2 linked regions of the Lonchura striata genome follow. Each later gene encodes a partner of the first gene's protein in a complex. Links are inferred from orthologs where the notes say so. Each region holds a gene or a part of one and is shown in the gene's direction. Other genes may lie near its edges. The genes, in order: NCAPD2 and SMC2.

Region 1 (16,440 bases):
GCTTCCATCTCTGAAGAATTAGTCTGCTGCCTTGCTCCAAATTCACCATTGAGAGTTGTTCTGGTGTGTTCACTGTTCTGGTGTGATTTTGGTGATGTTTAAGACTGGACACTGATTGATCATAAGGGAACCAGAAGCCACAGGGAAGAACCTAGCTTTTGTAGCAGTAAGGCTACAAGTATCTAATTTTAAAAGAAGTCTGCACTGGACAAAGCTCTGTCATTTCCTTTTAATGAGTTTCAAATGTACAGTGAAGCAAAACAAAGGGGCACTTACCTTTATTCCAGTCATGCTCCAAGATACAGCATCCTACTCTTGGAGGTCTTCATTTGTGTTCTGAACTTACATTCCAACACCAATGGAGAATTGTTCCCTGGGTTTCAGGATCTGAGGTTATTGAAATCTAAAAGCAGCACAGCCTGAGAGCCAGAGCTGCCACTAACACACAGAAGGCAGTCCCCTGAACAGGATAGTGGCTGGACATTTGGTGGCTGACAGGAGACTTGCTTGGGCAGCCTCTTTCCCCAGAGCTGCTGGTTCTCACATTTTGTTACAGACTTACCAGAGTCAGTCCAGCACAGCTGGAACCACCATCATTTTACAATGGGAAAACAGCCACTGCTTTGAGGGACAGAAATTCAGGTATGTGCATGCTATGGAATTCACCAAAAAAAAAAAAAAAAATCCAGCAGTTTGGCATCCCAACCCCTTCCCACTCACTGACAGACCAGACAGACTCAGTAAGGTGGTAAATTGTGTTTCTTAGAGACCATTAAAAGTACATGAGCTGATTTCTAGAACATGCCAGAGGAGATTACAGTTGTGTTTATAGAGGAAATAAATAAACTGCACGTGCACGAGTGGCTGTGATGCTGTGGGCAGCAGAGTCCCTTGCTTTTACTAAGAGGGCCTTGGTGATTTGTTTTGCCCATGCACAGAGACACAAAGGAGGGGAAAGGGAGCAGAGGAGGAGGCAACATACAACATCCAAGAGAAAGAAATGAAAGAGACAGCCTAGGGGGACCTCAGCTCCCAGAAAGACAGGAGGAATGGGGCACCAAAGGCTTGTTTAGAAGAGTTCAAGAGAATTGCTGGTCTGGGGGCCTCAAGCTTGTAAAAGCCTACCCCCTAAAATGAGAGCAGTAGGTGGCACAAGCAGGCCCTGGCTCCTCTTCAGTAGATGCACTTCTGACCGTCCATCCCATCTCAGTTCCACAGGGAATTAGGGAAGTGCTCAGGGGACGAGGGATGCTTCACTCCAGATCTTCATCTCTGCCCTCCCCAAGGTGGAGAGGAATGGAATTGCAGGGAGATGAACTCAAATGAAAATGCTGGGGCATGGAAGTGAGCATGCAAAACCTAGCCCCTTGCCAGGGGCCCTGGGAGGCAGAAAGGGGCTTCCCCCAGCACATCCAGTGATACAAGAAGCATCTGCTCCTCCCATCTTTTGTACTTTGCTCCTATCTGGGAACTCCAGTGATGTCCTCCCTGCCTCCCCTTAGGCCTAAACAAATCCCAGAGCATTCTGGAACAGAGGCAGAGCTTTCTAAACTAATGGAGTACCCTCTTTCCAGTCTAGATTACAGGCCACAGCTCAACTTGTTATAAAAAGTTGAAAGACAAGATACACATTCCTCGGAAGACTCTACAGAAACAGGGCAGCTCATTTAACCCACGTCTGACAACCCATTCAAACAACTCACAGCTCTTGTTACTTTTGATGGTGAAGAACAAGGGAATCACTCACAGAAAGCCACAGCCACAAGTTTACTTCCATCAGAGACCACCCTGGACCTAAATTCAAGAGAACCCAGAGCAAGTAGGAGGATTCAGTTTGATCAGCAAGATCTCTAGAGGCATTAAGTTGCCAATATGGGACATCTGATGTCACTTTGCAATATCCTTGCCCAGTCCACCATTTCCCTTTAAATCCCCATCTAACCATTTCAAATGTTTTCTAGCTCCTGCTGAAAGTTAGGGTTTTGTGGCAGCAGACACAGAGCAGATAGCTGTATCAGAATCTGATATAATCAGATTCTGATCTAATCAGAAAGCTGGGCAGGTCATTCAGTCTCATCTACAATACCTCCAGCCCCCTTCAGCTCTATCTGCTATGGCAGTGAGTTTCCTCAATGTTCAACACTGTCACACAAGAGCAAAACACCAATTCCCATCCTGCCACTTCTCCAAAGTCTTCTTTCTGGAAAGCTACAAGACAATAGGAAGCTACAGGGTCCTGGCTTGTGTGTGCATAGATGAAAGGCATATTTGACACTCCCCACCAGACTAATTGTTGTTCACTTGTTCCTTGTGGAGAGACACTTTACTCCCACACATGCCTTTTTGATAATAGCAATGCCCCTTTCACTTAACTGTGTTTAGCCTGTTGCACTTGACTGAGGTAATCATGTAGGGCCTCCTTTATAAAAACTGAAATGGCCATGTTCAGGCAGCAAGTCACCTGGAAATAAGGACAGGCAGAATCAATCATTTCTTTGAGTGCTCACCTCTCCATGGCTAGAGAAACCTACATCACTACGTGTAGCTTAAATGGCTCACAGCCACTGGCCAACACAAACTAGCTTTTATTTCAGAAGCTCAGTGAAAAGCTCAAGTCATGCTACCACTCTTTTTAGGCAGAACACTAAAGGCTCTCACACGCTGAAGTCCTTCATCCCACAAGGCACTGTGTTAAGGCATTCTTATTTTGCTAGAGTTCACACAGGCACTATTTGACAAGCTTACACCCAAAAATAAACACAAAAAGTTCTCTGCAGAAGAGCAGGAGCAAATGGCTACCCACTCTTCCTCAGCTTCCCTTTCCTCTAAACTTAGAGGACGCTCCCTAAAGCTGCAGCAGCTATTGAAAACTCTACCTATGTTTAGTAAGCAGCTCAGAGCCCTGTACAGAAGATAAATTAAAACCAATAAGGAAATCAATGAAGAAGCTAGGTGAAAGGAAAGGAAAAATTCAGAGGCAAGAAGAGACAGGCATGGTAATAGAGGACAGGAGGTCGCAGACTGAAGGAGCTATATTTAAGTAAAAAAGTAGACTGGAGACAAAGCAATAGGAAAAAGGAAAGAACAAAAGGGCAAGTTACACCAATGGTCCCTCAGAGAGCTCCAAACCACCCACCAAGAAAGGAACTTGCCAACCCACCCACTCCAGGGTAAATGCCCCTCATACTTACAGGTTTATCTGACCTGGCAGGCAGAATTTCCCATTCCTACAATGATGGCATTCCCCATTCCTCATATTACTAGGTAAAGCATACCATTTCCACACTAAGTGAGGGATTTCCAGCACTTCTACCTCCCTTTCCCAAAGACTGGAGTTGACACTTATGCAACTAAGACCCTCAAGATCTCAAAACAAAAAGGAAAAGTTTAAAGTACTCTAGAGCTGGTGTTTCCTCACCTTTGAGTCTGAGGTTTTTGGTACTTACTTGCAATCACCACCACCACAAGGGCACCAATCACTCCCATCATGATCATCATCTGAAGAAAAAGATTGTCCAAGAGCAATACTCAGAACAGATTAAAAAAAATAGACATTAAATAAAGCTCCCATCCTTCCTGACAGCCAGGGAACCTATGCCAAGTTCCAAAGGCATGGCAGCCAAAGCCTCAAGGCCTTCCCATAGTGAAAGAATCTTAAGCATTTGAAATTGTTAGTAAGCTCCAGCTTATACTTGAAAGCTCTGCAGGAGAGGAGTAGCCCAGTTCCCTCCTGCCAAGAAGATTAGGGCACTAGGAAACTCACCTTGCAGTTCTTCCACCAGTACTTCCTTTTGAGTTTGGCTGCGCTGCTTTCAAACACTGAGGCACCGGCCTGAAGTGCATCTGCCCGGTCATCCAGCTCTGACAGCTTCTCGTCTCGCTGCAGCACCTTGTCTACATTTACACACATTATATCAACCACCTGCAGAAGGAACAATAGTGGGAGCAGCTGTATTGGCAAAGACAGCTGAAACCCTAAGAGGAAAAAACTTAGCCAATAACTGATGTTGCAATACTAACGAACAAAAAACATGAACAAGGGGGAGGGGAAGATCAGGGTAGAGAAAGAAGTCATTTCAAGTCAGTGCCTACTTTAAAATGGGAAAAAAAAAATCCGAGAGTCACTGTTAAAACATGAGTTCCAGTACACTTCAGTCAGGTCCTCAGCTTCACATTCTCATCTGCTTTTAAGAGCTCTCCATTCCAGCAGCAAGCCAAAGCCACCCTGCTTATGAGAGGAGTCGTGCGCTCGCTCACCCCCCGAGAGCTGCAAAATTGCTTTATGCGCTTCGTGCTGCTGCCCCGGCGAGGCACAAAGGCGCTACTGCGCGGCAGCAGCCAACCACCGGCTTTGATCCCGGGAAGCCAGGCAGGGATTCCCCCTCATCACTGCACACAGCGTTCCCTCGGAGCAGCCCGCAGGGACTAAGAGCTGTCCTGGATGCTGTACAGCTTTACTCCCATAAGAGATGCGCGATAACGATGTACCAAAAGAATCTAGCAAGCCTGGTCCTTGGTAGTCATATCTGGCATTGAGAGGCTTTTAAACGTAAAGCATTCTCTCCTCCAGCTTCTTTAATAGGTTTGCCACTATTTTTGAGTAGAGAGCATTAATTAAGTTCTGGCTTTGGCATGACAAAAGAGCCACCCCCTCAGTGAGAGACACCGGTTAAGAACATCGCTGCTGCAGAGCAGTGGGAGAGCGCCCAGGCACCATCAGGGCTGGCAGAGCTACTGACCTCCTGCACTTGGGCCTGTGTCTGCTGCAGGCGGCGATTGCTGGTCAGATTGGGGGGAGCCCCGGGGGGACCCCCGCCGGGGGCTGCCCCCTCGGGAGCGCCTCCCTCGGGAGCCCCTCCCTCGGGAGCCCCGGGAGCAGGCTGCTGAGCTGGGTCAGACCTACGGGAACACACACATCAGCCAAGAGAAAACTCAGCCGCTCGAGAACGCCCCCAGACCCACACGAACCCCAGTGTCCCCAGGCTGCAGCAGCGCTGGCAGCAGCGTCGGGAGCTGCAGCCTCGCTGGATCCCACAGGATCGGGAGCAGGCGGGCTCGTGGGAGAGCCCAAAGCAGGGGCAAGCCCAAGGGGGCAGCGGGAACGGAACAAGCATCCCGTCAAAGGGGCTTGCGGGTGCGGTCGCGCCAAGCGCTGTGGCCTCCCAGGGGGAACAGCGAGCTGGCCGCATGGATGTGACCAGGATACGGGGCAGGAAGGTGAGGGAAGAGGGACGGGGAGACAGAGCGGGGACATCCCGGGGGGACCGCGCAGCCACCTGGCTGGGCGCAGCGGTAGCCGCCGGCCAGGTTTGCTCCCGCTGGGGCTCCGCACATCACCACTGGGGCACGGCCCACGCACCCACTCACCACGCAGTCAGCGGGGGAGCAGGACCGCCCGGGGGCGGTGCGGGCAGCCCTCCCTGCGGCTGCTGCAATGCGCCACCCGACCCCACCGCCGCCGGCCAGGACGCGGGCTCTGCACTGACCCCCGTCCCCACGCTGCAGCCACCACCCCCACGCTGCAGCCACCACCCCCGCGCCGCGCCCACCGCAGCTCGCTGCCGGCCGGGCGGACACTCACATGGCCGGGCCGGGCAGGACCTGGGCACGCCGCGAACGGAGCTCCGCACCGACAGCCCCCCGCGCCCCCGGACCCCGCACTTATACAGGCGGGCCCCGCCCACGGGGCCAGCAGCCAATCAAAAGTTGCTCGGCACCTCCCCGGGTTCTTCCTCAGCCAATCAGCGCCGCGCGCTACGGAAACGGCCGTAATGTTAGCCCCGCCCCCAGACCGCCGCGGGACAGGCCCCGCCCCGCCGCGGAGCTGCCCAATGGGAGCAGCGCCCCGCGCCCGGCCCCGCCCCTGCGGCGGCCCCGCGGTGCCCGGGGCGCCGGGGGCTCGCGCGGCTCCGCTCCCGACCCACGGCCCGCCGCGGCACTGCCGGCCCCGAGCGCCTCCGCCGCGCTCCGGGCAGGTCACGCAGGGCCCGGTCGTGGTTACCTGCCCCGTTCAGGTTTCCTTTTGGAGCCTCCCGAAATCCCATCTCCGCAGTGTGTCTGTTGGCTCCGGTTAAGCCGCTGCCCTTGCAATTAAGAGATGGTGTCGCTGGCCCACTTCCAGCATACAGCGCGTCATGAAAGCGAAGCTGAACAAGTCCCAGTCAAGCTTCTGCAGCCTACTGGGAGAAATGAGGCTCCCGCAGCAGCCCTAAGAACAATATGGGGTTTTTCTGTCTAAATATCTGGAGAAGCCTGCTGGATCAGAAGGGGAGATTTTCCAACTCAGGACAAGAAAGGGGACAGGAGTGTCCCAGAACAAGAAGACTCTTCATACAGAATTTTACGTGGTGAGTAGAGAGTGACAAGTGTAGGCTCACATTTACACTACCTTTTCCTTCCTTAAGGCGATGCAGGATTGTCACCTAAGATTTTAGTGTCAGATATCACAGATTATCAGGTAGACAAAACCAGGTATGTTGCAGATTACAGCAGGGTAACTAGAAGATCGTGGTTGCAAGGTGAAGAATAATGCAGCATTGTGACTAGAGACAGGTGATTTGCAGATAGGAGCAGACTAGCACTGACCTCACAACTCCAGGTTTTTACACTCTGCCTGCAGACAGAAGGGGCAAGTTGAGGAAGAAGCTTCTGTAGCCTGGCAGCCTTTCCACTGCAGTCTGAGGACCATTCCAATAACCACTGCAAATAAGTTTGAGCTTATGGAATTAGTGTCCTCAGAGCTTTTGCCAGGTTGGTGCTTAGGGATTAAGAGATGAAAAATGGTACAAGATACTTTCTCTTGATACTTTTCCAGTTTCCAACATTATTTTTGGGCAAGGACTTGCTATACCTGCTCAGTCTCCACTTGGATCTGTGCAAGTTTCTTGAATTCACACCACCTTTTGACAGATCTGTCACCCTGCTACTGAGAATGTGGACTTGAGCTGTTTAAACAGAGAGTTTGCCTTCACTTTCCTCAGTCTTATGCCTAAAGAAAATCCTTTCCATTCATTCCTAGCTGCTTCCAACCAAATGCTTTTGGAGACAGAGCAGCATTGCTCTGCAGCAAGATACATCAAGTAAGAAGATAACTCCCTGATTACTTAGCAGCTAAATTAACAACTAAGGCAGAATTTGTATGCAAATGCCTGTTCATGTAATGGATTTTCCCTACGTGTACAGTTGTGTGATGTTGCACTACAGGGATGCCAGCTGTGACTCACTGTAACTTCTCCTCTAAAGGAACTGGCAACAGTTACAGAAAACTAGAGATTTAAAAAACATTTAAATACCTGATTTACTTTTGCAAATCCTGCCTAAATTATAAACAAAAAACTATTTGGTCATTAAATGTTATTAGCAGGGCCTAAGGTCATCATGAGTGTGGAATGAGACAAATCCCATTCTTAAGACAAGTTTTGATGCATTTTAACTAACATTTGGATCATTCACACTTAACCACACACGAGTGGAGGGCAAGGGGGAAAGCCATGAGCAGGAAGACACATTAGCAGGACTTCATGGTACTAATTTGAAAAATTTGGCTATGAGGAAAAATCTGAGTTGAAGAATACTGGAATTGTCATTGTAGATGTGTGAAGCTGGAGCTCAGAGACTGAAAGGATGCCAGAAGCCTGGCCTAAAAAACAGAGGAGCAGAGGGTCAAGTTCAGGGATGCAGGCTGGAATAGATGCCCGCAAGAAGTACGTCAGAAATGACTGAGGGGGCACAGAGGAGCTCAGGCCTGGAGAAGCAGCAGGCCCTTGGGACCTGGGTAGAAATAGGCAGCAAAGGTTGTAGAAAGCACTGGGAATTCAACTGTGTGGAAGCTGGCTTTATTCTAACTGCAATGCCACAAAATTCCACTCCACAGGCTGAAGCCACTTCTGTTCCCTAGCGGTGCTTTCCAGTGCGATTGAAGCGCTTGTACAGGTACCGGATCCTCTTGCTGAGTTTGTGATAGTCCTCTGCAAACATGCGGTCGCCCACCATCCGCTTCTTGCGGATGCACCTCTGCAGCTCGTTCCCCCGCCAGCCGCGCAGCCAAGTGGGCCCCATGATGAGACTCTTCGGGTGGATCTGGAAGCCGCCTGAGAACAGGAGAGACAGATGAAGCCAGGCACTGGAGAAGGCTGTTCCAGGGCGGCCGGCCCAAATCCTCCCTGCCCTATGGCTGCCGGCAGAGGCGAGTCCAGCCTCCCTCCCCTCCTGCCCCGGGGCGGTGCGTGTCTTACCCAGGATCCCCACGTTGTCATACACCCCGAACAAAGCCCGTTTCTTCGTCCACCGATCCACCGGCTTGCGCTTGGGCGGCTCCTTGATGCGGATGGGCCGGGAGAGCCCCGCCAGGGGCGAGGACAGCGGCACGGGGAGGCCGGGCCGCGCGGGCGCCCAGCGCGCCCCGCCGCAGTCGCTAAAGCCCCGCTGGGCGCACGGCAGGGGAGCGGCACGGCCCAGCAGGGCCCGGCCCGCCGCTCGCAGCAGCAGCGTTGCCGCCGCCGCCATGGGGATGACCCCGGAGCCCCGGGGACGGGACGGGAGCAGCGGCCGGGCCGCCCCTTCCGCCGCGGAGCGCCGGGGCGCGCGCGTGACGTCACGCCAACGGTCGGGAGGGCAGGGGAGCCGGCGATTGGGCGAGGGGCCGGCGCGCGGCGCAGCCGGCGGGCGCTGATAGGCCCGTGGCGGGAAGGGGCGGGGCTGGCGCGGTTCGCGCGCGCTGTTTCGAGCGCCCGGGGCCGTGCGGGGCTGTGGCGGCCATGGCGGCCATGGCGGCGGCCCCGGAGTTCTGCCTGCCCCTCGCTCCCGCCGATCTGCTGCGGGATGGCGGCCCCGGGCGCTACGTGGTGCGGGAGGTGCTGTCCGCCCGCGAGCTGCCGCCCGCACTCGCCGGTAAGGTGTCCCCACATCCCCTTCCCGGTCCGGCCCGGCCCTGCCGCCGGCTCACGGCCATCCCCCCGCCTCTCTCCGTGTTTTGCCGCAGCTTTCCGGGCCGCCTTCCGTGCGCAGGGCGCGCTGGCCGTGCTGCAGCACTTCGACTGCGTGTACAGCGTGCTGCAGTGAGTACGGGCACGGACGGGGCGGCGGGCGGGCGCTCGGCCCTCTGCCAGGCGCGCCTTGCCCGCCGCCTCACGCCCCGTGTTTGTCCCGCAGCCACTTCGGAACCGTGGGCACGGCTGTCAAGGAGGATGCCCTGGAGCTGATGATGCACGGTGGGTACCCGCTGTTTCCGGCCGACGCAGGACTAACGGAGAGGTTGTTCTCCCTTGGCGGCTCAATGATGATATAAAGGCTAATGTGACTCGGCCAGCTGGGCTGCACCCTCAGCCCACTCCTGTCATACGGGTCTGTAATCTTGGTGGACGATGCTGAGTTGTGCACGTTCGCTGTAAGGGCAGACCGACATTAAATCCTCTTGCCTGTGTCCCTGGAAAATAGGTCTGTGGGACCTATCAGCTCAGAGCGAGTGTTTCTCCGAGCTGACGGAGGGCTGTGGGGACAGGACAAGACAGCACGCCCAAGGACTGGGTTGCAGGGGGCAGCCCGTGTTACAGCTGGTGAGATGTGAGCACACATCTTTGGTAATCTGATGGCTGCTCCGAACCTCCCAAAGAGAGAATTGCTGAGGGACCTGGCAAGGAGTGCTCATGACTTTCTGCTTCTCCTCAGTGGTGTCCCATCATTCCAGTGATCTTCCTGCCATCCTGAGCGACTCTGGGCTGAGCCAGGCAGACCGTGCTGCTCACCTCAATGCTCTTAAGATGAACTGCTATTTGCTGACTGGCCTGATGGATGCTTTTGAAATGGAAACCTGCAAGAACAGTTGTATGGAGGCAGATCCTGGTAGGAAGGTAGGTCAAGAGACTGGGGGAAAGGTGATAAAAGTCAGAATAAAATTTTAAGCTTGCTGAACTCTGTAGTATCTGTCAGATTTATAGCTGAGTTTATATAAGCATGATGCCAGCAAGAGCATGTGGAGCACTGGTGCTTCTCTGAAACTGCATGAAAAACAGCCAAAGGACAATCATGTGTCTAAATATCAGCAGGGATTTGGATGCCCTGGCCTTTCTATTTCATTCTTCATTTTCTGGTTTGAATGTAGTATGCCAGTATTTTCGTAAGATTTCCTTTCTGTAGTGGCAGCGGATGCACATATAATCCTTAAACCATGCAAGGCACTGGTGCTGGCCTGAGCTAAGAGAGAAAAACTGGTGAGGGGGAAACCCCCTGTGATCTCACAAATCTCATTGTGTGTCTCTTAATGCTATAATAGATTTCTTATATTTGGAAGGAAGCAGGGTAGTGACAGAGTTTTGTCTGTTGTGAAGCTGCTGATGTATCTCACTGCGTAATCTCCTTTCTAGAGCAGGAAGAACCATGCCAAGACTTCTGGATCCTTGTGGGAAGAGGAGAGGGAGCCACTTTTACAGCTGCTTACACAGCTGCTGCAGCTGGATCTCCGTCAGCTTTGGGGTGCTTTAACAGTGGAAGAAGAGTTTGTCAGGTATGAGTTGGAGCAGGTGTATTGCTGGAATGAGTAACTGGTTCTGAGGGATAAAAGGTTAAATGATAACTCTACCAATGAGATGGTATTACAGCCCTCTGTGGGGTGCAGATCACTGGGAGGCTGAGGAAATAGCTCAAGGCAAAAGCAACATGTATAGAAACCACTTTCTCTCCTCCTGTAGGCCACAAAAAATTCAGATGCTTCCTAATTTTTAGAGAGCATTAGAGAATCTCTCAAACAGAAATGTGTGGTGGGCTAGAATGATATTTATGCAAGCTGAGATAGTGAGGTTTGCTGTTTGTCTTCTGTGGGTTTAGCTTAATAACGGGAAGCTGCTACCGTATCCTGGAGAATCCAAGTATTGGCCTTCAGAGGTACCGGGTCACGCGGGAGGCTCTGACACATCTGCTTGCTGCAGCTCTGGTTCACTGTGACCACATGTTCAGTGAGTTCCTGCCCTTCTGCCTTCTTCCTGAAGACATTCCCAGTTACTTTCCCTGACCTCTTTCTTCCTTCTCACGTGTTAAAGGTGCCACTCTGAAGATCACGCAGATGCTACAGCACTTTGAACATGTAGCCCCAGTGTTTGCACAGGCGGTGAGCCTCTGGGCTAAAGAGTATGGTCTAAAAAGCCTGGTGGGTGAGCTGCTAAGGTGAGAGAAATACTTGGAGGCTTGTCCTTTTATCCCTAGCAACTTGAGGCACCCCATTCCTTGTTTCATCTTTCTGTACAGGGAAATTGGACAGAAATGTCCCCAGGATTTGGCTCGTGAGTCTTCTGGAGTCAAGGGTTATGCTACTTTTATAAGTGAACTGGCTGAACAGATTCCAGCTCTGGTGCTCTCCAACATGAGTGTTCTCCTGCCTCACTTGGATGGGGAGGTACATTTCTGCAAAGTTACCTGTCCAGAAAAGTCTAACAGTAGAGATGCTGCTATCCAGTTTTTCTGTCTGATACAGAACCTCTTCCACAGAGCTCAGGTATCCAATACCTGCTCTGTTGGATTAGATTTTGCCCTTACCTAAAAGATGCAAAGGGAACAGAAACCATGGCATCTCCTGTCTGGTTGTCACTATCAGATGTCAAGAGAACAGCAGACTGCCTACTCGTGTGATGTCCCTGCTGTTGTCCCTTGTTCTTCAGCACTTAATGAGTTTGTCATTGTGTTACCTTTTATCTGCTGTGTTTCTTGTGTCAGTTCTTGGCTTCTATGAGCCTACCTGGATAGGAGGATTTGGGTTGGAAGGGACCTTAACACCTCTGCCATGGTTAGGGACACTCTCCACTAGACCAGGTTGCTCAAAGCCCCATCCAACCTGGCCTTGAACAGTTCTAGGGATGGGGCATCCACAGCTTCTCAGGGCAACCTATTCAAGTGTCTCACCACAGTCTCAGTAAAGAATTTCTTCCTCATATCTAATCTAAACCTACCTTCACTTTGAGGCCATTCTTTCTTGCCCTATCACTGAATGCCCTGGTAAAAAGTCTCTCTCCTGCTCTCTCACAGCCCTCTTTAGGTCCTGGGAGGTGCCTCCCCCAGAGCCTTCTCTTTTCCAGGCTGCACAAGACCAACTCTCAGCCTGTCTTCATAGCAAAGGTTACTCTGTCTTGCATGCACAGCTATGTTCACCCAAACTTAATTCAATATCCATGCTGAAAAAATTCACTTAGGGCTGGAGCCTGGGATTTGGAAGGCCCACACTCTGGGCATATCAAATCATGTCTTTTGGTCTGCTCCTAGTTCAACAACTCCTGTCTTGGCAGAGTTACATGATGCGAAATGCCATTCTGGGAGCTATGGCAGAAGTGCTGGTGCAGGTGCTGAGTGGTGACCAGCTGGAGGAAGCTGCCCGTGGTACTCGGGACAAGTTTCTGGACATGCTGCAGGCCCACATGTGTGACGTGCACAGCTTTGTGCGCAGCCGCGTGCTGCAGCTCTTCACTCGCATCGTGCAGAGCAAGGCAAGTCTGTGCTGGGCAAATGGCGTCGCCTCAGTCATCTCTTCCCATCTTGTGTGTCTTGAGGGAATTTCTGCCACTCTGCTTTTTGTTTGCAGAGATTGAAGTTTTAACAGAGAAAGGTGCTGTCCCTCTATACTGTGGTGTCTGCAGTTTCTTCCAAGAGACCAAAGATCTCAGGGGTGGGAGAACTGGGGGTGAAAATTAGATACTGCTCATTCTTACCAGGACAAACTAGAAGAAAGAGCATAGCATACAGCCTCTTTTCACACACTGGTATGGGAGAACATCACAATTACCAGATATACTAAGACTCAGCTCAACAGGATCCTGGATAACCTAAATCCTTGCTTTCAGGGAAGTTTGGACCAGAATATATCAGGAGGTCTTTTGAGCCCTAGACTTTTCTGTAAATACATAATCTGTGCTTTTTAGTACATTAATATGTCTGCAGTAAACTCTTCCCAAGTGTCTGAGCCTTCTTGATAACTTTATCTGTGCTCTTGTTGTGTTCTAGGCCCTGCCTTTGACTCAGTTTCAGTCTGTGGTGTCGTTGGCTGTTGGGCGGCTCAAAGACAAATCTGTCTTAGTGGTTAAAAATGCAATCCAGCTCCTGGCTGCATTTTTGTCCAATAACCCCTTCTCCAGCAAGGTAAATCCAATTCATGTGGTGGATATGTTAGATGTCTCTTTGCAGGCTAAATATCTGCAGGGTGCTATAGCCAGGGCAGTAGCATTGCTATGTCTTGTGGGAGGAACGGTGTAGCCTTTGATACTGCAGGTGGCAGCTTTCTGGTCTTCCCAGGTTCAGATTTTGAGTTCTTTGACTCGCCCCTCTATTGGTGAAATTCATAGCTATGATGAAGGCCAGGAAGGATGTGATTGAGGTAAAAACCTGCAGCATTTTTGAGTCCACTGTGAGGTTTCTCTCCTTAGGATCAAGATTAGTTTTTTAGAATATTCTTCGTGGATCTGCAGCTCTTTGTGTTTAGCTGCACCTTCTCCTGAGTTTCTGAGCCTTAGTGAGCAACTTAGAGCAGTTCTCATTCTGGGACTGGGGCCAGAGTCTACTCTTCCAGTTTCCGTAAACAGGGTTATCCATGGAGATTGACAACTAAAGCAGGGAGTGGAAGAGATAGGAGAATTCTGGCATTTCAGGAAAATGAGGATAACTAACATATTTCTTTTTCTCTTCCTGACATCTTCAGCTAAGCTGGACTGACTTGGATGGGCCACTGAAGAAAGAAGTGCAGAAACTGAAAGAAATGAGGGATCGTAGCAGACCCTCAGCAGGTAATTTCCTTTCTTCTTCTTTCCACTTTCTGGGACAGTCCAGAATGTACTTTTCCTCATTAAATTTGCTCCCAGGTTGTGACAGGTTTTGTCTCACATCTTGAGTGAGATGGTGAGACCAGATAACTGGGATTAAACTCACAACAGTTTTCCTTATGGCGGTGTTGTAAAAGGATCATATTAATATCCATGTCTAAATCAACAGTCCTTACAGCTATATGTCCTATTTTCAGGCTAAGAACTGAAAATGTCAATGAACACCCTCCCAGGTTTCTCTTTTTTTCAAGGACTGCTTGAGTCATGATTTTGCTCAGATGTTATTTAAACTTGATTTGTAGGCAGTACCAAAGCCCAAGGTTAAAAAAATGACAGTTTTCTTACCTGTCTTTTTTTCTGCCTTCAGTGGTTTATTTGTTTTAGTCAGAGTTCTTATTCTCACTGCAGTCTGGGTGGGATCAGCAGTGGGAACACTACCTGCCTGGGGAGGAGGTAGGGGAAGTTCCTAAATTCCAGATGAGTTTTTCCTTCCCATTAAAGGTGTCACCTGAGTCTGTGTTCTTCAATACTTCTGTTTTATAAGTAGCTCCAGTGATCATCCCAGAGGAAGAGTGGGAAGCGATGCTGCCAGAAGTTAGGGCTGCCACACAGCAGCTCTTTCAGCCACTGGAGGAAGAGGAAGAGGAGGTGCTGGAAGTTGAAGAAACAGTGGAGAGGACAGTGGAGCAAATCACTGGTCTGTTGAAGAAGCTGAATTACAAGTAAGAAGGCTCTGCGGTGACAGTGTTTATCCCACAGGGTGATTTCCGGTAACATTACTCTGTAGGAAGAGATTGATGTGGGCAGACAGTACAAGATGCTGATAGGAGCTGCTTTCCCAGGTGTTCAGGGCAAAGTTGGATGGTTTCCCTTATGTTCTGCTCTGATGTGTTGCTGATACTCTCTTGGGCAATGTCATTGTCCAGGAGCGCAGCCTGTCTTACACAGAAGGCCCTGTGTCGCTTCCAGGGAAAGGAACCTTTCATTAGCCCTGGGGAGGAAAACGAGGAGGCAACAATCCTGGCTGTTCTGAAGAGACTTTACATAGGTAACTGTATCACTCTGTCTGTACCCCAAGTCCAAGATAATGCCAGAGCAGATTAAAGCCCTCTGGAATGCTCTGTCCCTCTTTCTGACCTCTGGGGCTCAGCTCTCCCAGAACTGCAGCATCACTGTATTATTCACTGTTCAAGTACCTTGGCATTTTAGCTGGATCATACTGATCTTAATTTTTGGCTGGAACAGTTCCATGGTCCCAGTAGAAGTGCATTTTTGGTGCCTTAACTCACATATTGTCTGAAGGAAGTGAAGGCAGTGTTGCTGCTCACACCCTTCTGCCCTGTCTGAATTTGTCAGTTCTGCTTCCTGAGCAGGTAGTGGTACATAATGCTTACCCCTAGCAGCCTTGACCAAGTATCTGGTTCAAGCAGAGTCTTGGTTATCTGGGGCCTGAGCCTCTGGGTGTATTTTCAAGACTTCACACTCTTTGGTGTTTGTTTCTGCATCAAGTTGTTTAGCCAATCATGTTGAGGATATTTTTGTTGGAAGTCTACTGTCTAAAAATCTTTACTTTGTGAACTCTCCACACTTGCACAAACTTTGCTGTGGAGTAGTAGTGTTTGCCTTCTCTTGGTTTCCTTTTAGGTCCCCCATCTATGTTTGGGGAATTACCAAGTTCAGATAAACCCAATCAGAATTTAATGGTGTTTATCCCAACTGGACCATGCCCTTCCATACCCTTCTACCAAGCTGGCAGTTCTCTGGAGCATCACACTGTAGTACTGGAACTTGCTCCACAGCATGCCAAGATTTTGTAGCTACATCTGATTGCAGAATTTGGATTTTTGTGTCCTGGCTCTTGGAAGGTGTCACTGTGGGGATGGGGAGAGGAGGGTTAAAATGCCCTGAACTGTGCCTGTATTTCTTGTATCTTCAGTACTGCTCACAAATAAGTGTGCTTTGTAGGTTCATGCCCAGGTGGTGAGAACAGTGAGGATCCTCCATATGACAACAGCAGTGACAAGATTGAAGAAGTTGTACAGGAAGAGCAGCCTCAAACAGAGCTGGTCAAACAGGAGATGTTGGTGCACTACCTGCAAGATGCTTACAACTTCTCAGTGAAAATCTCAGAAGCTCTGAACCTGATCAGCAGGATGATGTATGAAAATTCTGTCTCAGGTATGTGAAATAACCTTTTTTCTCCATTCAGCATTTCTAGATCTTTCCTTGCTTGAGAGAAAATGCTGGAGTGGTAGAACTCCAGGAGAAGGAGAAAAGATTGAAGGAGCTGCTCTTCATTGAGCAGATGTCATAGACACTTCTAGGGTATTGGAAAAGCAAGCTCCCTCTAAATGAGTGTCATGAAGGAGTAGAATAGGGCATGAAGAGGCTTTTTAGGAATATTTATTTATTTAATGTCTATTTCTTTTAATACCAAGGTTGAAAAAGATTGTTTTAATATGTTTAAAAGTTGTTTTTAAAAAGATATGAAATGAAATGTATTTGAACTTTCTGAAATTAAAAAAAAAGGTGGCCAAAGTGAGTTCATTTGTGGAAGCTATCCTGCCTCCTGTGGGGAGGCATGGATATTCATCATCTGAGTTGAGGTTCTCCTAAAGTAAGCCTGGCCAGTGAAGCTGGGTTTGGT
Region 2 (16,027 bases), on another chromosome or scaffold:
GAAGACTGAAGTGCTAATTAGTAGCAAGGACCTGAGTGGAAAAAAAGCAAAATGTGTTTAAGGATGCACATGCAAAGATCAGGGAGAACAGGTCAAGCTCTCCACTATTTAGATAAAAGAGTAAGTCACCAAATCCAGAAACTAATCAGCCCTCGACAACTTTCTGCGATGAAACAGAGATATTCCATGTTCCTCAATGACAAAGAAACACAAGTTAAGGCTTCCTGCACCAGAAGTGTGTGCTGGGGAAATCACCTTTCACAAAATGAACTATCATCAAAATCGAAGTACCCCACAGTAGGTAAGTGGGCCAGCTTTTGTTTCTACTGCTTTATGTATTTACTTTGGTGTCAACAGTGTTTGGCTGTAACAAAAGATACCATGACACTGCAGCGACAACAAAAACAGAAAACATGTTTACAAGAGCAAAAGCTGAGTTTAGAGAAACACAAAACTGATCCCACTCACTAGCTTACACTCACAGGCATTGAGAAGGATTTGTCCTAACTGTGTGCCCTGCATTTAGATAGGTATCCAAGTGCTCCAACCAAGAATGACCAGGGACAAAGAGATGCTGTCCAGACCGACAGCATTCAGTGATGCGCCATTTGTATCCCGGGGGAGCCACCAGTGATTCAGAAATTACTTTGTCTTCCATCTTGTCACGTGTTTGTGAATCATCAATACCGATTTTTGTCTCTGTTCTCTGTATGCCTGCAAGGCACCAGCCCTGTGCTTTACTTTCCCCTATCCTATCTTAGTAGCTTGAGTCTTCACGTCTGAGTACAGAACTAAGAACTTGTTACTTGCTTCAGGCTGTCCTTTGTTTTCCCTACCTGGCCGATTCACACCTGCTGTCATCATGACGATCCGCAAATCTACGTGCCATAGTACTGGCCATTTCTTTTCCGTAGTTTCTTCGGGTGCTTCTACTCCCAGATCTCCTATTCACACGAATCCTCACCTTCTTATCAAAGATCTCTACTTTTTGGAATACACGGGGTTTTTTCTGCAGAGCAATGATCCTGCCTAGGAACAATATTGAAACACTAATTTCACTATACCGTTTTTTATTATATTTAAGCCTAATTTTGGAAGGAGGACAAATTTTCTGTCTACTATTTATCTTTTCTCTCCTGAAAATGATTTTGCTTCATTACATCCACTTCAATGCTAGGAGAGTTTGCTGTAGGTCATAAAGCAAAGAACCCCAAACCAAACAGAAAACAGAGGTGCATACTTGATTAAATGGATCCACAAACTGATTTCCAGGTTAACAAATCAAGACGATTTTGTATGTTTAGATACAAAATCATAAGAAGTCATAAGGACTACACTGCTTAAGCATATTAAATAACTCCAAAGGATAAACAGCAGTGATAAAACACTTATGAGTTCCAGCTAAATCTTACTGGACTAAGTATGTCATAGCCACAGTTTCAATTCCAAGAACAGTAACCTGCTCTTGTAAACTGTAATACTACTTTGTTTTCAATGTCAGTAGATTTGTATAATACATTTATTTTGATGGTTGTATCTTAGTTAACCAGGAGTTATGTGATTTTAAAAAAATTTTGTAATGAACTACATTTGATTAGTTAAAAAAAAGTCTGACTGAGATTTTAGCTGATTTTGATTTAGATTTGTGTTGGCTGAATGCCAGAAGAAGACCCTGAGAAATTACGTCACTGCAACTGCAGAAAGGAACTCCATGAACCCATACCTCTTAGACAATCTAATCAATAAAGAACAAAATTTAATAAAGAATTATTCAATGGTTATCAATTAACTAGAGATTAATTAGAAGTCACAGAAAAAGAAAGATAAGGAGTCAAAAGGTCTGTACATCCCAGAAAACTTGACTAGTACAGGTGCAGATGCAGTAAGGGACCTATTTCATAGTTGAGAATACTCCAGAAAACTTAATCAATAGGAATTGTCCAACCAGGACAGTAAGTTTAATAAAGCACTGTTTAGCTGGATAAAACTTGGGTTATCCATAAAAAAAAAAAAAAAGAGATTAAATGTTCTGGAAGTACTTAAAAGAAACAAACCATATATATTTTGATGCAATAAGTAAGGCAGATTTTTCAGAGTGTCAATAAAAAATCTTGAATATTATAGTGTATATAAATGCCTGAAAATTGTTGGTTTTTTGAACAGGTCTCTGCAAATAAATTCCAAATATGTTCCAAATTTTGACTCAAAATTGTTATTAGGAACATTCCTCTAACAGCTTTTTGATAGTAGATTTAAAACTCTTTGTTTCACTTCTGTGTGTTTTCTGTATAAAGTGTTTCATAGACCATTATAATCATTACAGTAAAGAGACTGCTATGATAACTTGAGAAGGAACAGCACAGAGAGTGATAAGAAGACACCTTTAAAAATAAAGTGATGCACTTCTGCTTGATTTTCTTACAAAAGAACCATCAAAGCCTTTGCTGAAATTTATGTCCAAGACAGCATTTATTCTTGATGTCATTGATGTCCTTCAAACCCTCCTTGCCTGTGGTCTAGCCCATCAAGTTATCAAATAATAAAGACTATCAAGGAAAGAGGTAATGAATTGGGAAGTCTTGGCTTTTTGCACTAACAATGTATGTAACAAAGCAAAGATCCCACCTGTATTCACTGCTGCAAACTGCAGCAGGGCTGAAAGTGAAAACAAAGCACCTTCACACAGGTAATCATAGCTCAGTCCCCAAAATCAGCATGAGTAAGGATGTTCACAATTCAGGGGAAAATGGAAAAGAAGGAGGAAGAGGTGAAAACTGGAATACCATAATACATACTAGCAACGAGAAAAGAAGAGAACAGACAAGTCTGAGAAAACTGAAATAGTTTCAATACACTGAAGACCTAACGGTGATAGCTGAAATCTGGGAACCATCACATTAAAGCAGAAAAGCAGTAAAGCTTTCAAGACAACATGAGTCAAATTAGAAAAGTTTACTTTTCTTAAATAACCTTAGTTGTTATTCCTGAGTGGTGTGGTATAATTTCCTAGCCTGGACTTGCCCAAATCTAACCTTGAGGACAAAATCCTTTTTGAAACCTGTCAATTACATTAGTTAAATTCAAATTTTGGGTTCGTTTAACAACTCTTCTTCCTGGCAACCACAGTTTGCAGATATGATTGTGGCACTTTTATCTCCATTCTGAAGCAGTTACACCTATGCTCACACCCACATTGGAAGAAAAGGGTATGATTAAAAGTTGAGTAAAGTGTATCTCAGACAATTAATTTGTAGATTGGTTCTAAGGAGAAATTCACCCATCACCACAACAGCAAAGTTTTGCTGGCAATCATAATCTTTTTTTTTTTTTTCCCCAGATCTAATTTATTAGTCTTCTGCAGCATTTCAAAGCAAAGTGGTAGCATAAGAGACAAATACCTTAAAAAACCCCCAAAACAAACAAACTAAAACAAGCAAACAAACAACAAAAAAAACCAACCCACAAAAAACCTCCCAAACTAACATAAAAGGACTTCTTGGCATAGATACTGCCAAGGGAGTAGTAATCCAGAGGCTACCTCAGGACATCCCATACACATACAAGGATTACCAATTACCTGGGAGTGAATATGGACTCAACTCCTACATTCCTACTCGCTTTAGCAAAAAATTACTTGTTCTTCCCCTCTGGCTTAGTTCTTACAATGCCTTTTCAACGGTACTTTTTTTTTTCCCGTGGTAAGAAACAAGTAAAAGCAAACTACTCCCATGCTACTTTTGTCAGAGACCATACCGCAAATATCTATGCAAGCATGACACTGCATTTTGAAACAATAAAGCTGCAACTACACTTACTTATGCAATACTATCTAATCTTGGAAGAAGGTCAGAGACTGAAGGTGACTAGTTTTCACTCTGCTAAATGTGCCACCCTGTACTTTGTTATCAGGTCACAATTCCATCAGAGGTTCAAAGGAGCAAGTTCACACAATGAAGTGAAAAGGGAAGTTAACACCATCAATATCATCAATATCATCAAATAGGTCAGCTGCATTCACTCTCAGAAACTGGGCATAAAGTAAGACCTTATCACTGTCTACAACTATCTGAAAGGAGGCTGTAGCCAGGTGGGGCCTGTCTCCAAGGAACAGGATGAGAGGAAATGAGCTTACACTGAACCAAGGAAGATTTAGTATAGATGCTATGAAAATATTCTTCACAGAAAGGGCTGTAAAGCATTGGAACATGCTGCCCAAGGAACGAGTGGAATCACCATACCTGGAAGTGTTCAAAAAACATCTGGATATGGTACTTGAGACCATGTCTACTACATGGACAAACTACATTCATTTACTGGTGAACATGGTGATGCTAGGTTGGACTTGATGATCTAAAAGGTATTTTTTCCAATTTTAGCAGTTCTGTGGGGCACAGCAGTTGATGTGGGCTGACAAAAAAAGCTGAAGTTTCTTAAAGGGCCTGCTGTGCTTTCCTAGTCACTGCATGGCACCCTAAATTTCCTTTTAGGCACTTTTATTACTTCTGCCTTACTTAAATGTTGAAACATATGTTGTAGCATCAGTAAATGCAAAATTTTACCAAAACTGTAGAGACACCCCATGTAGCCCAGTTTCACTTCTTAGATTTGCAACAACAGGCCAGTACTGCCCCACAGAGAGAAATGTTTAATCTGCTTGATTTTACAACTGCCAAAGAAAGCTTTGGGTTCTTAAAAGCATAGATTTCTACAAATGTTAAACACCCCCTTGCAGTGTACAGATCTCTTGCAACATCATGACTAAGTGAACTCAGAAGGGAAGTGACAAAATTCGAGCTGATGCTTTCAATTTCTGTAATATAACAAGGGTAGCTTCATCACTGAACAAGTTCCTGCTTGAAACATGCACAACCAACTTCTCCCTCAAGACAGAAACCCGCTGCTCCGGCCTGCTTAGCATATACATACATCTGATCTGGTATCTGTTACCTTTTATCTTATAATATTTAAAAGACAGATAAATTAAAAATTAAAGGGACATGAGGAAAAAAAGAAGATGAAATGAACAGGTTTTATGCCTTTATTAGTGTTCAACTCTTTATTAAAAAGTCAGCTCGGCAGGGGGGGTGTTTGTAGCTTCTTCCGGTAGCTGAAGGGCGAGAAGGCGTACAGAGTCTGTCCCTGGAGTCTCCGTGGCACACTGGTAGCCAGAGGTGAAGAGGTGTCCAGTCTGTATCTGAAGTCCCGATCAGCAGAGCGTCCTCTCTCTTTTTCTCCTGGCACACTGGTAGCCGAAGGGTGGGGGGATGTGCAGAGCCTGCTGCTGAGATCCCGCAGCAGCTATCCCTCTCCTTCCCTCCTGGTAACACCAGGTAGAGTGTCTGATTCCTTGTGCCTGCTTCCCACAGCCCAGTCCAATCTGATCCTCTGCAGGTTATAGTGACAGGTTAAACATAGACTAGGGATGGGGTCCCTTTTCCCCAACCAACACACCCATCCAGCCCCCTCCACTGTGCCCCTCTTTTTCATTTTGGGGTGTTTTTCATCCCCAAAACCCCCTCCCATGATTCCACTGGCTTATTTTGCATCCTAGTCCTAGTTTGGGTGGGGGTGTAGGTGATTCCCAGGGGCGATTAGCTAATTAACATTTCAATGTCAGTACTTAGGTCGAGCCAAGTGTCCCAGCCAGGCTGTTTTGTTCATAACAGAAGAGGTATGTCAACAAGAGTCCAAGGAAACAAATTTTAAGAGTGGAAGTACAGATCAGATTGTACACAGACATGCGAAGCTGTATTACTTTTGAAAGATAAAGATTTCACAATCTCTTCAGGCAACCTGTTCTAATATCTGACCTTGACATGGCTTGGCAGGGGGAAATCTCAGGACTCTCCATGCGCCACTGGAAAATACTGTTTAGCAAACAACATTTATCATCTCTTACCATGCATTCCCCTCAGATGAGGTGGGTTCCATTCTCTTAAAACTGTCTTGCTAAGCAGCTAAAGAAGGCAGCAGAAACAATAGCTTTTGTTTCTGGAAACTGAACAAAGCCATTTCTCTCTTGATTTTCCTTCATCATCTTGGTGACCCTACTCTGGATTTGTTCATGTGTGTCAGTGACTTTCTTCTACTAGGGAACTGAGAACACTGGATGCAGTTGGATCCAAGTTCAGGGTAGTGGGGAAAAGATTCTGCTCTTCCAGGTCATGACTGTCTACATCTTTCATAAAGATATCAAAAATTATGGCTAATAGTGGGCTGCCAACTGGACTTTGTCCTCTGTTGGACATCCTCCAATTTAGGGACAAGTTTAACTCACCAGTTTGTCTCTGAGGTAGGGCTAGATGAACACTCAGATTTACAGAACATAGGAAATATCTCAGTCAGAATTCACAGTCATCATTCATTTGATCAGTATCATTCATTTGATCAGTGTTGATCACTGGCAAGAGGCAGATCTGTCAGGTGTCATATGTCACTGAAAGATAGCTTCTTTATCATGACACTGGGACTCCTAGGATGGCATTTTTCACAGATGCAATCCCACCACTAGACCTTCACTTACAGCAGGAAACACTTTGCTACTCCAGTCCTGTTGAAGGGTGTGGGAAGAGAGGTGGTTTGCCATTGAAGACAGGCAAAAAATTTGTTGAGTACCTCAGTTTTCTCATTCACTGCTACCTGTTTGCCAGCCTTGCATTTCCCACAGTGGTATGTGTGTGTACACTTTCTTTGACTTCTTCTGTCAAAGTAACATACCTGTAGAAACCCTTGTTGTTATTCTTAGCATTCCTTGTCAAGTTCAGCTCCAGATGCCCCCTGGCCTTCCTCAGCCCATCCCTACATAATCAGACTCCCTGTATTCTTCCCAGATATCTGTGTCTGCTTCCACTGCCTCCGCATGTCCCTCTTGCCTTTTTGTTTGACTCACTCATGCTGATTTCTTGCCTTCCTTACCCAATTTCTTGTGACTGGGCATCACTAGCTCTTGTGTTCTATGGAAGGTGTCCTGAAAAATATGTCACCTCTTGTAAAAAAGGCAGTTTTGCACAGGATTCTACTGACTAGCACATTGAACAGCTGGAATTTTGCTTCCCTGAAGTTCGATAAAGTTCTTATAACAATAATAAAACCATTCCTAGATAGCCAGCTGCTAAAAATATATTTTCCTTGCTCAAACCATGTGTTATATTCGCTCCAAGGTGCTAACTGCATGTTAAATATCTACAACCGGATTTATATTCCTTAAAATGAAGCACTCAAATTTAAGCCTTGTGACATCAAAGCTATTACAGATCTACTTAAGAACTTATTTCTTAATACTTAAGAAATTATTTTTCTTTCCCACATCATATGTAAATGGGGACAAACATGGCTGTCTTCCTATGATGAAGCCTCTCACATCAGAATTGGTTCTGCTTTATTACTATTTCCTTATTTCAGGCTGTGGTTAATCTGGATGGAAAAGGAGCAGGCGGAGCAGGTACAGTACTAGGTCCCCAGCTGCCAGCTCCATCAACCACACATTGAGAAGGACTTTGGCCATTTGAAGAACAACCAGGTGCCACCTTCAGTGTAGTCCAAGCAGCCACCTCTAACAGAAACAAACCAGGAACTTTCCTGCAGGCAAGAAACACTCCAGTATGTTTGCCACAGAAGGTAAATTCAAAAATAATTTGGGAGCATTTTCAGTTTGCTAAATAAAGAGTGGGCTGCATAGTTACACAGTATCAATCTGACTCTTGTCCAAATTAAAAATAGTTTTTCCCAATATAGGTTCCAGATGTAAGCAAGTGAACTGCAGATAAGGGACCATCAAGTACTTCTGGCTACAGTAGCTCCAGCAGCAGTGCTGTCACGCTAATGCCTTAAACAGCTGCATCCAATATAATTCGTGCAGCAAGCAAATGCACTATATTTTTCTTCCCTAATGCAATGTAGACCTTCAGTCTGAATTATTTCGAATTACTGAAATAACATCAAACTCAGTAGTCCAGGGCACAAAGTTTTACAGCAGACCTCAACAGTAACGCTGTGCAGCTGCAAAGTCCTGGTCTACCTACACAGCACGACAAAAGCAAGCTCAGAAACGAGTAAATGCATCCAGCCGACTTTGCCTTCCTGCTTTGAGCAGCGCAGCAATGGACAGACAGCTACCTTTCTTCCAATGACACGTACTCACGTTTTGAACAAGCTCTCCTTATTCTGCTCGAATGGAAGCATGTCTGTATAAATTACAATAATAGATTTGAACAGGCATAAATAGCGCTTGGGTTTTTTTTTTTTATTCTTTGGGGAGGAGGGAGTGGGTTAGGGGTGGCATAGTAGGAATGCGTGTAGGAAGTATAGAACAGCACTTCTTTGATTTTGATGTAATTTCAGGGAGGACAAAGCCACTTCCCGCCGCAGCCCGGAGCTAACGCTCAAGCTCCTCAGCCGCGCTGCAGAACTCACCACGAACTTACCAAGCGCCTTCCCGCCCACCCCCATCTCCCTCACGGGCGCCCGGCCGTCCTCCCCGCCATGGGCCGCCACCCGCCACTTTCCGCCCCCGTCAGAGCCGGAGGAGCCCTTTCCTAGCCGCGCCCGCCTTTCTGCGCCCGGTGCGCGCCGTCCCTCCCGGCCAGGCGCCCCCGGCACCGGCCAGGCGCCCCCGGCACCGGCCAGGCGCCCCCGGCACCGGCCAGGCGCCCCCGGCACCGGCCAGGCGCCCCCGCTGCGCCCGCTCCGCCGGGGTGGGGCGGGCCGGCCGCGCTGAGGGCGCGGCGTGGCCGCCATCAGGCGCCGCCCCTAACGGTCGCAGCGGTCGGCGCCAAAATTTGATCGTGGCGGGCGGCGCGGAGCGGGTGCGGAGGAGCGAGTGAGGCGCTGGCATCGAGGGACAGCCCTGCACGGGGGTGAGCGGGCGAGGGGCCGGGAAGGGAAGCAGGCCTCGCACGGCCGATGCGGCGCCAGAGGCGGCAGGGAGGGCTCGCTGGAGCAGGGCCGCGGGCGGCAGCGGTGGGGATGGGGCTCTGCTGGGTCCTCGCTCGGAGCCCGGGCTGCCGCTTCCCGGGATTCGTCCCTCGCGGGCGGTGAGGCTGGACAGGTACGGCAATTCCGCAAGCGGGAGAGGGAGACCGCGCCGTGTCGCTTTGCGACAAACCGTGGCTTTGCCGCGAGTCTATAGCCGAGTGTTCTGATAAACTGTGCGTAAAGTCCCTTAGAAATGCCGAAGTGCAGTTGGGATACTGCCTGGATCTGTGGTTTACTTGGCTTTTTTAGTTTATAAATGTATTATACTTTTGTTGTAAAAGGCATGCGTTCTTTCATTTCCTCGGGTCTAGTTGTTTGTTTGGCAGTATCATTCATTTGATTATTTTTTTTCTTTGATGTGTATAGGATTATACTCCGGATACCTTTCTCAGTGCTCAGAGGAATACTTGGCCTGGAATACCTTTTGGGAGCATTGGGAAGATGTACATTAAGTCAATTGTTCTTGAAGGTTTTAAATCCTATGCTCAGAGGACGGAAATTAGTAACTTTGACCCGCTATTCAATGCCATTACTGGCTTGAATGGTAGTGGCAAATCCAATATCTTGGACTCCATCTGTTTTGTGCTGGGAATCAGCAATCTGTCACAGGTAAAGAGATAGGACATTTAAGAAAAGTCTTTCTTCTGTTAGCAACTTTTAACGTTACTCTAGTGAGTAACCTCCCACGGAAGACCTGACATGGTGTGTCTTTGAAAGAAATATTTTCATTATTTCGATATTTCATTGCATTAATCTGGGTCTCTATCATTGTTGCTCAGCCTTATGTTGAGTTACAACTTCATCCACGTACCACAGTTACACAAGTATGTGGCTTAAAACAATATAGACTAAAAATAACCACTTAAAAGCTAACAGCTTCAAGCTAAAGGTCCTTTTTGCATCTACAGGCACTAATTTACTAATTTGTAATAAATGTTTTCAGTTCTGGATTAAGTCTTAAAATCTGGCTACCTGGTTCATCAGAAAAAGATTTAAAAGTGATTTTCATACAATGCTTATTATTTAAGTGATAATATATCTGCTTTATTTTTACTAAAATATATGTGCTTTGACATCAGTTTCAATCTCTGTCTGAAGATGATTTTTAAATTTGCTTTCTTTCCCATCCCTACCTTCCCCCAGCTGTTGACAAAGCAGGCAGCCCTCTAAGGAACATTTTCTGAATCATTTTCCTGTGAACTGCATTGTGAAAAATAAGTGTTTGTTAAATAAATTTACTGTCAGCTGGCTTTTTTTACAGATGTATTCAGTGTTTTTCAGGAGCCTCATGCAGAAACAGTTATCTGGATAAGTAAAACTAGACTGGCACACACTGTAGTTTCACAATGATAGCACCTTGCAGCTCCCGTGTGCCAGTTCACATGAACTCAAATATGCAGCTAGATCTTTGGTTTTTATATTGATTTCTCCAAGACCTACAGTATTACAATTAAAATGTTAATTTCTTTCAAAAAAGTATTTATCTGTTCCCTGAACTTAGGTGCGAGCTTGCAACTTCCATGATCTAATTTATAAGAGTGGGCAAGCTGGAATTACAAAAGCAACTGTGTCTATTAACTTTGATAATTCAAACAAAAGTCAAAGTCCACTGGGATTTGAAGCTAATGATGAGATCACTGTGACTAGGCAGGTAAGCCTTTAATATCTGTATTTTTTCATAACCTATTTACATTTTTACCATGCTCATGAGTGGGCAGGGAAAAAGGGGGTGATTTTCTGAGTTTCTGCAGTAGAGGCAAGGTTTCTATGTTGCTTTTATAGTGTAGTTAGTTAGAAAAACTGTACCAGTGTACGAGCTAGAAATGTTCATAAAGCAAGTTAAAATTTTCTACCTTGCGGCTTTTACTGCTTTCATATCTTTCTTCTTAATATCTGAACTCTGTGTTAAATTTGGCCTCCAATAGCGAAGGAACCTTTATTTTTCTGGTGAAGATGTTGGGTTTTGGGTTTTGATTACTTTTTGATTATTTTTTTTTAACGTAGAGTTTTTGGAAGGTTTCTTGACAGTATTTTCCTCAATGACTAATCTTATATTTTAGTTAAATATTTTCGATGTCAAACAAGTTCTGTTTTGATGTTCTGCACAGTTTGTACATACATACATATGCAAAAATATAACAAGTGTGATTTGCTCAGATTTTTTTGTTCTTTATTGCAGTTTATATTCTCACAACACCAAGCAGTTTTTTTGTCTTTGTTCTCTAGGTTGCTGTAGGAGGTAGAAGTAAGTATCTTATCAATGGTGTGAATGCTGCCAACAGTCGTGTGCAGGATTTATTCTGTTCCATTGGACTGAATGTCAATAATCCTCATTTCCTCATTATGCAGGTATTGTGTGCATCTTTATAAAATCCAGAAAGAGTAGGACTTGTACTAAATTTAAGATGGGGAGATAGTAGGAAAATAATTAATTCCTAATTAGAGTGTCATTTTACCAAGAAAAAATGAAGTCTGTTAAGTCATTAATATTTCCAGTACAGCATAGTTTGACCCTAAAACACATCTTGTAGCACAAGACCTCATGCGGCCCTCATGTTAGCAAAACTTTTCCGAAATATATTCCCATTTTATTTTTTTTTCTTCTTAACAGCTAGGTATTGCTTTTATAAATATTATAAAATGGTGGGTTTTATTTGCTATTATTTGTGCTCCCATGTTAGACAGCACCTTGAATGAGGTTGAGATATGTACCTTCTTAAGTCAAAATTATCAAAAGAAAGTTGACAAATTGGGAGGACTGTAAGGGACTAGGCAAATCCCTGAAATATTTGCAAGGAATAATAAAACAGAGGATTTATTGATTCAAAGGTAACTGTTCCAAGTGGATGCCAAAGTGAGGAACAGTTTTGTACATACTCTCTTTCTACCTGTTATGTATGAGCTACATGACCAATAAAGCTGGTTTATGATTAGGAGCTTATTCAACATCAGAAACCCAGTAAGACTCTAGGAAAAATATTTGAATTACTCCTTTAAGATGTAGTAAGAACTGTGGAAGATTAGCCTAAGATACATTGTAAAGGGCCACTTCAAATATATTACCTGAAAGAGTGACTTATTTGAACTTTGAAGAGCAAAACAACTGAGTAAACTAGATTATTCTTGTAGCAAAAAAAAAAAAAAAAACCAAACTTAAAAGTGCTTGAACTTATATACAATGTGTAAAAGTGAATGGAGGTTTGGGGTTTTGGTTTTTCTTTTTACTACTTCATGATACACAACCACTGATCTTGATTTATGTTTCTGTTACCAGGGAAAAATTACCAAAGTTTTAAATATGAAGCCACCAGAGGTAGGAAAGTTGTGGGAGTGTTTTTGTCTAAAGTTATTGAACTGATTTGAATAACAAGAATAAACATGTTGGGAGGGGGACAACAAAAATAAAAATTGGGGAGAGATGAGACATTCAGCTTAATTGAACCAATCTAACATAAGACGAAACATCAAAGTTTTTTGCATTGCTTTATTTTAGATTTTAGCTATGATTGAAGAAGCAGCTGGAACTAGGATGTACGAGTGCAAGAAAATAACTGTCCAGAAAACCATAGAGAAGAAGGAATTCAAACTGAAAAACATTCAAATGGTACTATGTGTTGTAAAGTAGACTTTCATTCATGTTTGTTAAAGATAACTGATCAGCTAGTTCAATGTTGACTTTGTACAGCATTCTAGAATATTTCGTTCCTGCATCTGGAACTAGATATCCATGCCTATACATGTTTAAATTTTAGAGTTCAGTAAAATCAAAATATAAATCTTCTGCTATGTGTTTCAGGTCTTAAATGAGGAGATCGGTCCAACTTTGCAGAAACTGAAAGAGGTATGGAAAAATTAGATTCAAATACTGAAAAAATACTTTCACAACTACCCTGAACCAGTAAGTTTTAGCTAAAACAATAGCATGTTTTCAAGTACTGCAGAGTCTTGTAAGGGAAAGAATTTTGTTATTTTTCCAAGTACACAGAATGTGACATTTTGGACTTCCAGGAAATCCTAGAGAGAGATATAGAGAGAAGGAAGAAAACAACAGAACTAGATAAAAATAGATTTTAAAATGTCTTAGTTTTAAAAAATAAGTCAAGTGGTATTTCTGGTGTGCAGTCTATTATATGAATATTATTTTAGCTGAGAATAACATGAAGAATCCATCCTCTTACTTACAAATACTGATGTTTAGGAGTACTTACAAGATTTCTCTAGTAGCCTTATGTAACTCTGTTTTTTCATCAAAATTTAAATTTAGTGCCTTTTTTTGTTTGTTTGTTTGTTTTGTCCAGAAACGAGCATTATATCTAGAATACCAAAAAGTAGTACGAGAAATAGAACATTTAAGCCGTTTTTGTGTAGCTTATCAGTTTGTTCTGGCTGAAGAAACAAAGATATCCTCCACTGGTATGCTAAAGGAAATGCAAGCTAATGTAGAGAAGTTTAAGGAATCAAGAGCTGAAATTGAACAGAAGGTAAAACAGCTTAATGAACACATAGCAGAGATGGAAAAGAAAAAGGATAAGGTAAATGAAAAAATGAAAATAAACATTGTACTCCTCTGAATACCTGCATACAAAGAATTTTAAGATACTGGAATTATTTCTAAAGATAGTATACCGTTGAATTTTTGTCTTCTGGTGTGTAGCTTAGGTTATGCATTGTTCATTGTCGGTTTTATCTAGAAGATATCAATTTAAAGTTTTTTTTTTGTCTGAAATGTAAATGAAAAATAACTGAAACATAAAAACTGTTTGACTTCATGTTTTTACTCTATGCATTCAATGGTAAGTTTTGCCAGAGGCTTTTTTCTCCCTTTTTGTTGATGTCTCAAAAGAAAAGTAAGGAAAGTTTTGTTTGGCAGTAATCAGTATTGACTTTGATTTTGGGGGCAGTAAATTTCATGACATACAGGATGGCCCATAGAGGCTTTAGTGTTTAAATCCACCTTCTGTACAAGGACAGTGTCCCATCTTATGGAGTGGTGTGGGTCTTCAATAATAGTTCTAGTTAAGTTGTATTTCAGAGGTGGGAGATGATCTGACCTGTTTGTATTGAACACTACTGCCTGCTTGGTCAGATTTCCTTCTACAAAAAGCTCTGAACAGAAGGCAAAGTATTACAAATACTGCATTGGTGTCACAGGCTAAATTAAATTTCCTTTATTACTGGTTGTAGGAAGTTGGTGGTAAACTCCAAGAACTAGAAGCTGCTCTTTCAGCAAATCAAAGAGTTAATGCAAAAGCACAAAGTGCTCTTGATCTCAAGAAGCAAAACTTAAAAGGTGAAGAGGTTAAGTATAAGGAATTGGTAGCACGTATGCAGAAGGTAAGATATTTATATATAATTTTCTTTACATACTAAATTAATTCCGATTGTGGGAACAGCTGTTTTTTTCTTTCCTGTTGTGGTATAAAGAATCCTGTGATTGGCAAGAATTACATTTAGAAGCAGAGACAAATATTAAGGGCATTGTTTAATTTTTTCAACATAAGTAGTAGGTTCTCTTTAGAAAAATATGTGATGCAAATACAAATAAAGTGCAGCTCCTTGTGGTTCCACATTTTTTCTTAAGCTCAGCAGAGGTCTCTGTAGCTTCAAACTACTATGCTTTCTGGATATTTGTTACTCTTAATGTTAAATGAGAAATCTCTGCCTTGCATATTTTTGACAATCAATGTTTCGTTATGCAGGAGGATCATTTTTTAGGTATTGGGAAGAGCGAGATAATTCTAGGTCTTTGGCAGTTGCTACCACTTTCTGTGTTTCATCTCTCTGTAGATATTCAGTACACTCATGGGGCGAGTAACACATTTGAAAACATGCAAAGACATATTGCTAGATCACAAAATCTGACAAAGGGTCATAGAAATTTAGATGATAAAAACTACTTGTTGCTCCTCAGCTAAAGAACTTGAATTTCAAAGTAATAGACTCAGGTTCTCTCTTTTTTTTTTTTTTCTGTTTTGCTGAAGGATTCTAAAGCATTAATGTCAAAGGAGAAAGAGGTAAAGAATCTAGAGAAAGAACTAAATGTTTTACTGGAAGAAAGTGAAAAAGATGCACATGCTCTAGTTGCAGCACAACAGCATTTTAATGCTGTATCTGCTGGCCTGTCCAACAATAAGGATGGTGAAGAAGCTACTCTTTCAGGACAGATGATGATCTGCAAAAATGAAATTAGCCAAGCAGCAATAGAGGCTAAACAGGTAAGAAAAAAAACTCTGCATGTCTCAGACCTGCCTTCATGCTTTTGGAAATTGTCTGAAAACCAATTGACAGATGCTTGAAAGATCAATGAAAAGAGGTGCAGAATATTTATGCAAGATATTTTACATTTTAGCATATGCATTAAACTAACTTTTTGATAAAATATAACTGAAATATCCTTGCACAGGAAAATGCTGTAGCATTGCTGCAAGGAAGTATTAGAAACTGACATTTGAGATATAAAGTAGGATTCACTGTACTCAAATGATCAATAGTATTGAATAGGAAAAAATGAGGATTGTTGTTTATGGTGGACAATCAAAGAGATTTTGGCAGTTAAACTTAATGGAATCAAAATAAAGATGCATGTCATTTTGAAATAGAGAGTTTAGAAGAAACTATTTTCTCCTTAGTTAAATTGTATGTTCATCACATGACTGAAAGAGATGATGCTTGTTTTGTCTTAGGCTAGAAGACCTCTGCTGGGGTAGTTCTGATAGCAGAGTTTAAATTTCAAAAGTTCACTTTCTTTGTCTCACTTAGAGAGAAATTCTTCATAGAGTAATAAGGACAGCTATATCCCACCTTAAATTACTTTGTTTCCTCTCAGAGTTTATTCATGTTCTAATATGTTACCATAGTTAAATACAAGACCTATGGTTTTGGTTCTAAATAACCTTTGCCATTATTTTCAAAAGCTAAGGCTGTTTTTTTGTCATATCTGCAACCAGTGGAAAATTGCATAAATTAGATAGGCAGCTTGATAGAGCAAGTGTTTTAAATTTGCATCTGCGAGTTTGTCTTTGAAGATCTGGTTCCAAATTTGCTTACTCATTAT

Evidence for each region.
Region 2: NCAPD2 (region 1) and SMC2 share a complex: the UniProt entries of both Homo sapiens proteins name them as parts of the condensin complex. The link is inferred for Lonchura striata from reciprocal best matches to the Homo sapiens genes NCAPD2 and SMC2.

Annotation. Positions count from the first base shown.
Region 1 is NC_134604.1:29,376,216-29,392,655, forward strand, and holds the start of NCAPD2 (condensin complex subunit 1), read left to right. Parts: upstream 1-8,750; 5' UTR 8,751-8,756; coding exon 8,757-8,889; intron 8,890-8,980; coding exon 8,981-9,056; intron 9,057-9,150; coding exon 9,151-9,209; intron 9,210-9,269; exon of another isoform or gene 9,270-9,592; intron 9,593-9,666; coding exon 9,667-9,848; intron 9,849-10,361; coding exon 10,362-10,501; intron 10,502-10,821; coding exon 10,822-10,949; intron 10,950-11,033; coding exon 11,034-11,157; intron 11,158-11,238; coding exon 11,239-11,386; intron 11,387-12,269; coding exon 12,270-12,467; intron 12,468-12,981; coding exon 12,982-13,116; intron 13,117-13,672; coding exon 13,673-13,757; intron 13,758-14,337; coding exon 14,338-14,515; intron 14,516-14,719; coding exon 14,720-14,841; intron 14,842-15,758; coding exon 15,759-15,971; intron 15,972-16,440. Other genes in the region: VAMP1 (vesicle-associated membrane protein 1), read right to left, coding at 3,447-3,498, 3,764-3,922, 4,740-4,899, 5,582-5,583; MRPL51 (large ribosomal subunit protein mL51), read right to left, coding at 7,894-8,090, 8,235-8,505. UniProt on the Homo sapiens protein: Regulatory subunit of the condensin complex, a complex required for conversion of interphase chromatin into mitotic-like condense chromosomes.
Region 2 is NC_134642.1:61,412,132-61,428,158, forward strand, and holds the start of SMC2 (structural maintenance of chromosomes protein 2), read left to right. Parts: upstream 1-8,752; 5' UTR 8,753-8,855; intron 8,856-9,339; 5' UTR 9,340-9,414; coding exon 9,415-9,582; intron 9,583-10,474; coding exon 10,475-10,624; intron 10,625-11,199; coding exon 11,200-11,322; intron 11,323-12,247; coding exon 12,248-12,286; intron 12,287-12,466; coding exon 12,467-12,577; intron 12,578-12,769; coding exon 12,770-12,814; intron 12,815-13,271; coding exon 13,272-13,505; intron 13,506-14,157; coding exon 14,158-14,307; intron 14,308-14,954; coding exon 14,955-15,188; intron 15,189-16,027. UniProt on the Homo sapiens protein: Central component of the condensin complex, a complex required for conversion of interphase chromatin into mitotic-like condense chromosomes.